Caenorhabditis elegans: one gene and its partner. The protein of the gene in region 2 interacts with the protein of the main gene of each other region in a pairwise test. Each region holds a gene or a part of one and is shown on either strand. Other genes may lie near its edges. The genes, in order: lin-39 and dhs-14.

What was found.
Region 1: the proteins of dhs-14 (region 2) and lin-39 interact in a two-hybrid assay, tested with the Caenorhabditis elegans proteins (2 studies listed by BioGRID).

Annotation. Positions count from the first base shown.
Region 1 is NC_003281.10:7,534,737-7,538,662, forward strand, and holds the start of lin-39 (Homeobox protein lin-39), read right to left. Parts: upstream 1,897-3,926; 5' UTR 1,854-1,896; intron 1-1,853. UniProt on the Caenorhabditis elegans protein: Transcription factor.
Region 2 is NC_003283.11:2,763,521-2,767,446, forward strand, and holds dhs-14 (DeHydrogenases, Short chain), read right to left. Parts: upstream 1,681-3,926; 5' UTR 1,675-1,680; coding exon 1,638-1,674; intron 1,588-1,637; coding exon 1,160-1,587; intron 1,114-1,159; coding exon 943-1,113; intron 703-942; coding exon 499-702; 3' UTR 461-498; downstream 1-460. Other genes in the region: cror-2 (DeHydrogenases, Short chain), read right to left, coding at 2,751-2,957, 3,001-3,171, 3,474-3,901.

The DNA of each region.
Region 1 (3,926 bases), on a different chromosome or scaffold from region 2:
TGATTGAAAAGAGATGAAAAGATGAGGGGAGGGAGGGGAAACGAGGTGATATAATAAATGAGGACGAGAGGCGCGTCGGGGCGGTTGAACATTTGTTAAAAATGTGACGTCTCCCTCTTTCTCCTCTTTTCTTCCATTGCAAAAGAGACAGAATACCGGGCGCCATCCTTCCCCGATCCCGCCCATTTCTCCTATTGGACGAAGGGTGGAGTCTCAGAAAGCGGAAGGGATGAGGGAATAGAATAAGAGGACGATAGAGATGAATGCAGTAGTTAAAAAAAGAGATCAAATTTTTTTCATTGAAGTAGATCATTCAGATATTCCTAAAGTCTACATATCTTCAAAAACCGAATAACTAGTAGAATAGGTATTTAAATTTGAACAATTGTAGTGAGAGCAAGAAAACTAACAATTTGTGCTGCTAGTCTAGAATTCAGAGATACGTGTACAATCGCAATCAATGACCGGATCAATATCTCCCAAGAGCCCAAATTTTCAACACAAAAGTTAAATACGATGATTCAGTTCTTAAAATTTTGAAGAACTTTCAGCAACCATCAATTTCTTTTACAGGTGATCAGAGCTTTAAAATTTATTAAAATTCCTGGGCACATATAATTGAAACCAATAAATTTCAGAACACGAATTAGCAATAATTACCGTTTGATAGATTTTAAATTTTAATTTAAGAACCTTGTTTTTTTTAATTACTGCATTCATCAAAAGGAATTAGATCAACCTATCAACTACTTGTACCTAATCCTTAGGAAATCATTAAAACTAGGAAAACAACAAAAGCTTAAGAACGGAAACAGAACAAAAAGAGAAGAAAAGTAAAGAGTTGGAAATGGAGAGAGAAAAGATGATGGTGATAAATTGAGGAGCAATCTGCGAGAGACGAATTGTTTTTGTGGGTGTGCTCAAGTGGGTGGTCATGGTTTAAGACCCGCGGGTTTTACCTTATAAGATTGGATAATTGCTCTAAATAGCTTTATATAAACTAGTAAGCAATCTATGAGGTCAAGAAGAAGTATGGACTAGAAGTCTTTATGTGTTTTCTCTGTAGGCCTAAGCTCTGAAATGTTACCTAACACTATTCCACACATTCTCCATGTCTTGAATATTTATGTGACTACTGATTACAAAATGAAATTTCAGAAATATTGAGGCTGTGGGCAATCCTCGAAATTTGACGAACTCAGCAATTTCGGTAGATTTGTCGCACACACCTGACAATGAAGCTTTTAAGTTGGATAATTTAAAGTTGTGATAATAGCTTTTTTAAAGTAAGATTACATTTTGTTTTCTTCTATGATTCACAAATTAAACGAGGGTGAGATTCAATTTATTTAAATGATCGGCAGAATAACGGGAACACGGTAAAAAGGCGCCTTCGCAACGCCTCATAAAGTGCAACATCTAATCTGGGCTCATTTCTTCCAGATATGTTTTCAATTTTTCAATGGTATATTCTCCAATAATGCAACATAAAATGTTTTTTCGGAACGCAGGTAATTTGAATAAATTCCTACAACAAAAAAAAAACAGCAGAAGCCAAAGCCGAGTATCTAAAAATGTTTCAAATACTGAAATTTAGTCGATAACTTTGCGAAAATATAAGAGGGTTCCGAAATAAACTAGATTTTAAACGTTTTCTGCCACAAAGGTGGAAAATTGATATTTGAAGTACATAACTTGCAAAATTTAAAGACTACGTTTTAAATAGTAGAGAATTTTCCTATAACTTTTTCAGGTGACCTCTAGGTTCAACTTATTTAAAGTTAAGTTCCAGTTTCATTTAGAACTTTGAGAAGCTTTGTGCCAGGAGTGGATTTAAAAAAAGAGAGATTTACCTTAATTCTAGAAGGTCGTAAAAAAATGTTGCCAAAATTCTATTGTTGGTATTGCCATCGGAATTTCCTCTATCGCCCTCCCACTTCATGTCTTCTAATCCGGGCGGCACGCACAAGAAGACGCAGACGTACTGATACACGTGAAGGGTGGAGCATGCTTCTTCTCCAATCTCCCCCACTGTCGGCATAGATCAAAGAGGTTCGTGGAGCCGAGAGCACATCTCTTGCTCTCGCCTTTTCAATTCATCACTGACAGCGCTGGATGGACATGGGGTGAGAACGACAGGTACCGTAAGCTTTTGGGCTCCAAGAGTAGAAGAGTTGAGCAGAATGAATTTTCGCTTTTAAGTTGCCGCTTTTAGGAACAAAATCTTGACCAACTTTTTCCCATTGGACAAGTTGTCAAGAGTCAGTCGAAATGTGCTCAATTTTATGAACTCTCTGATTTTATAGATATGGAATTGTTACATGAAAATTGGAAAAATGGCAAAAAGGGAGAGTATCTCGGCTTTGGGCTAAAACTTGAGCAGAAATTGAGCAAGGTTTCGACAACATAGTCTAAGACAAGTATTGTCAAAGCTCTTACCAACTTTTGCCAACATCTGATAGTCCGCTTTTTGAGCCAAATGCCTGGTATGCACAAAAAGTTCAAATGACCAAAAGACGAATTTCTGTGAAATTTTAAAACGGCGTTATGGGAATTTTGAAAAACGTTGAAGTTTTTCTAGGTCATTGATCAGATTTTCTAAAAATTTAAGCTTCTAGCTATTTCTAGCTAAATTAAATGTTATCAATACTTGGTCGACACCAAACACTATTTTTTGGAATTGTCAAGATACCTAAATATAAAAGTCTACAACTGAAGCATACGCTTAATATGTTTTCAAGATTTTGCAAGGCATCTGAAATTGCTTCGAGATTTCCAGCAGTGCCTCACCTTGTTCTTAAAAGTAAAAGTTCCCGAAACTTGAGGTTTCAGAAATGCCAACTGCAACTGAATTGATTCCAACGCCTCTTACAAAATGAAAGAATAAAGTTCTAGAAGTTCCCTACTGTAAACATGCAAACAGAGATATTTAAACTATTTATAAAACTTAAAATGTGTTACTTTTGTTAACTTTGAAAGTCTTTTTTAATTTTTTGATTAAAATAAAATTTTCAAATTAACAGTACATAGAGAATTACAAATTCTCAGAGCCACAACACATGATAATGTACTATAAAAGGAAATAACCCAAACACATCACATTTTTTATTTCATTATCAGTTTTCTCAATCTATAAATGATCCAATATCCTCACACCTCTCACAGTATAGATAAGGAGATAAGAATTGCATAACACTGTGGTAATAAATAAAAAAAAAAAGTGAGTAAATGATTAGTAAGTGATTATGCAATTGACTCAAGTCTATTTCCTGTCTCTTTTACAGTGATTTATGAGTGTCAGGAAGCATCAAGAAGTGTGGAATGAATGGCATCCAATTACTCATTTGTAGGTACACGAATCAAGAAAAAATAGGTTGAAGAAGTGTAGGGATCTTCTCTCTTTTACAAATTGATGTTCGACAATTCCTCATTTTGATTTTTTTTGGTCTTCCAATCTAGTGCAAACAGAAACGAGATAGAATGAGTTACAGTAGGAAGTTCATTAATCAAATGACGAGAAAAAGAGGGAAAAGTAATGAATACATTGAAGCATAAGACAAAAAAGAAATGAAAGGAAAGGAAATTGAACCACCGGGGGATGCCTGGTGAAAAATGAGAAAAGAGGTAGCGAGTTTGGAAAATTGGAGTTATGAACTATATCTGAAAAAGTCAAACGAAAAGGGTTCAAAAGATCTAGAATATAAGCATCTGGAAACTTTAGCGTAACTTAACCCTAAATATAGTAAAACATTTAATTCTCTGATTGAAAAAAGTCTTAAACTAGATTCTAGACTGTCTGCCATATCAAGAATGTTAGATTATACGTCTACTTCAGAATGAGTGGAAACTTTTTACTCAAAGCTCGAAAATTCTCAAAAACTCGAAACATTAAAATAAGCTTGTCAGAAAATAGACCCGCACTTAAA
Region 2 (3,926 bases):
GTCTAACCGAAAAGTTCTCATATTTCAAGATTTTTTTCAGGTTCAAAACTCCAATTTCTCGCTGGAGAGTCTCAATTTTTATCCACCCCCAGCCCCGCCTAAGCCTAAGGATAAGCCTATAATATATATACCGCCTAAGCGTAATAATTAAAATTTATATATTTTTTTCAGATTCAGTGGCATCCAATAAAGCATGTTTTTAAAAATGGATCTGTCAATAGTAATTTATACCAGAAAATGTTAAACAAAGTAGGCTACCTTGTACGGAAGGTTGTTAGAGAAAATTGCAGTATTTGACCAAAAGCTATTTTTTCCAAAACTGAAAAAATACGGGAAAATCATAGGAATTATTTTTATTTTTTAATTTCACTTCAGGTTTTACTCTAGGCTCATGTTTGTGGATTATATCCGTCAAAGTTAACTCAAACGGAAATTTTTTTAGTTGCCTGTTAAAAACTTTAATAAAACAATTTACTTTTAAAAAAATGTATACAAAAATTATTGTTTCAAAAGATCCATAAAATTGTGTGCCTGCATTCCCATTACCAAAGTCGAACCTCCATCTGCCACAATCGACTGTCCAATAATGTATGAAGAGAGTTTTCGATCAGCCAAGAACGCAATTATATTGGCAATGTCGATGGGTTGCCCCATTTTTCCGCAAGGAATACATTCTTTGCGAGATTCCATGAAATGTCCATACTGAAAAATGGAAAATTGAATAATTTTAAGAGCTTGTAAAACCTACCCTGGGCTTCACCTACCTACCTTCCTGCTTAAAAAGATTTAAAAAGATTTAAAAAGATTGTTCAAAATATTTTTGAACAAGTGGTAAAAAATCAGATTTTCCTACAACTAAATTTTGGTAAAATGACGTGTCAAGGATTTGTATTTTAAGTAGGCAGATCTGCAAAAGTGCCTGCCTACTATGAGGCTTCTCACCTTCTCATGCATATCAGCAGGCATTCCCATTGCTTCTCCGAAACCTGTCACTACAGCTCCAGGGCTCACCGAGTTGACTCTAACCCCGTACTGAATAAGATCGATGGCAGCACTTCTGGTATATTGATCCAATGCGGCTTTTGACATTGCATAATACATGAAAGTTGGTTGCTAAAATACAGAAGTGGGTAAAAAAGTGAAGAGAAAAGGAACTAACAGCCTGTGGTCCTGCTCCGATGCTCGAAACATTTACAACTTCTCCCTTAGCCTTAACCAAATGCTCCTTGGCTTTTTGAGTCAAAGTAACCACACTTCTCATGTTAATTTGCATAATTCTATCGTAAACTGAGACATCTTGATCAACTCCAACACGTCCTTGATCGTCATTAAAAGCCGCTCCGGCATTGTTGACTAGAATATCAAGGCGCCCGAATTTTTGAATTGTAGAGTTAACTAGTTCATCTTGACCTTTTTCAGTCGCCAAATCAGTTGCAATCGACAAAACATGATCTTCCGGAACTCCTGACTTCAAAATTTCCTGTCTAGTTTCTTCAAGCCTATCAGCATTTCTTCCAGTAATCGTAACTTTTGCTCCTTCCTGAGCCAGAAGTACAGCAGTGGCTCTACCTATTCCGTTTGAGGAGCCTTCAATGATTCATTATAAAAATGAAGAAAAATAAATTTGAAAAAAATACCTGTCACAAGAGCAACTTTGCCAGAGAATCGAGTCATAGCAGTAGTGTAGAAATTAAATATTGATACTGATAATCAATGCTTTTATTGCGTGATTTTTTTGTTGAAATGTGGTCTGTGATGTGCTTTAAGCAAACTGTGGCAGCTTATATTGATAAGAAAATAAAAATATTATGTCAATAAATAATGACTAGACTTTTGATACCACAAAAATGGAAATTCCTTTTTTGGTGGTTCGAACCAATTTTTTGACCGATGTTATTCTGCACGATTACATTACATGCCCGATGTAGCCCTCTACCGCTCGGCTTACCGATTTTAAAGAAATTTAAATTTCCGGCAATTTTCCGATTCGCCGATTTGCCAGAAATTTTAATTTCCGGCAATTTTTCGATTTGCCGGTTTGCCGGAAATTTTGACTATTGGTAAAATGCCGATTTACCGTTTTTAGAGGGATTTTTTATAAGACGGAAACACTTAAAACTGTGCCTTTTTAAATTTTTTTCCCCGTTTTCTTTAGAAATTTTCATAGAATTTGCTTAATTTTTAAATTGTATGTAGGAACATTCACAGGATATTGCCGATTGAAATTGAAATTCTAAAATTTCAAAAAAAAATTTGCAAAACCACAATTTGCCGACAATTTTTAGCAATTGCCGTTTCCCGGCGAATTCAGCAAATCGAATATTTTCCGGTTTGCCGATTTTCCGAATATTTTAAATTCCGGCAATTTATCGATTTGCTGATTTGTCAGAAATTTAAATTCCGGCAGTTTGACGATTTGCCTGATTGCCGGAAGTTTATATTCCGGCAATTTGCCGGTTTGCCATTTTTCCGGATATTTTCAATTCCGGCAATTTGAATATTTGCCGGAAATTTCAATTCCGGCAGCTTGACGACTTGCCTGATTGCCGGAAGTTTTAATTCCCGCAGTGTGCCGTTTCACCGAAAATTTCAATTCTGACAATTTGAATTTTTGCCGGAATATCAATTCTCCCAATTTACCAATTTACCGATTTGCCAATTTGCCGGAAAACATAGCTTGCCGTCCATCCCTGTTTTGTACAACAAAATCACTAGTTCCAATATTTATTCACCACTAAATCCAACAAAATTTAAGATTGCTTCATAAGATCCGCCCAGTTGTGAGCATTCATTCCCAAGACCAGTGTAGATCCTCCATCAGCTACTATCGACTGCCCAATAATATAGGAAGAAAGCTTACGATCAGCCAAGAACGCAATAATATTGGCAATATCGATTGGTTTAGCTACAGCTCCAGAAGGGATGCACTCCTTGCGGGACTCCATAAACTTCATCATCTGAAAACTCGAAAAATTCTAGGAATTTGTGTCTTATGTTCACCTCCTCAAACGCCCCACTCGGCATACCCATAGCTTCTCCAAACCCGGTAGTGACACCTCCCGGGCTCACCGAGTTCACGCGTACCCCGTACTGAATAAGATCGATGGCTGCACACCTGGTGAATTGATCGAGAGCCGACTTTGACATTGCGTAGTACATAACTCCGGGTTGCTGGAAACATGCAAATTTTAATACTCATATTTGGGGACGGGAATCCAGGCTACCAGCAGGGCTGAGCAACAGGCCGAAAAATTACAGAAATCGCCGATCGCCGATCGCCGATTGCCGCTCACTCCTACTAGGCTACCAGGCAATAATTCGATTTGCAAAACTGATTTTCGATTGATCAAACTACTCTAAAATTAAGTCAGCGGCGAGTAATAAAATTCCCCGAAATCTAATTTTTCCTAGATCATTAAGTCTTACCAGAGCAAAAACTACCGGAGGTCATAATATGCTTTAACCTAGCTTACCGCATGAGCTGTTCCAGCTATACTCGAGACATTGACAATTTCTCCCTTAGCCTTAACCAAATGCTCCTTGGCTTTTTGAGTCAAAGTAACCACACTTCTCATGTTAATCTGCATAATTTTATCGTAAACTGAGACATCTTGATCAACTCCAACACGTCCTTGATCGTCGTTGAAAGCTGCTCCGGCATTGTTGACCAGAATATCAAGGCGCCCGAATTTTTGAATTGTAGAATTAACTAGTTCATCTTGACCTTTTTCAGCTGCCAAATCAGTTGCAACCGACAAAACATGACTTTCCGGAACTCCTGACTTCAAAATTTCCTGTCTAGTTTCTTCAAGCCTTTCAGCATTTCTTCCAGTAACTGTAACTTTTGCTCCGTCTTTTGCGAACAGAACAGCTGCAGCACGCCCAATTCCGTTTGACGAGCCTAAACCTCTATTTTCGAAACATAA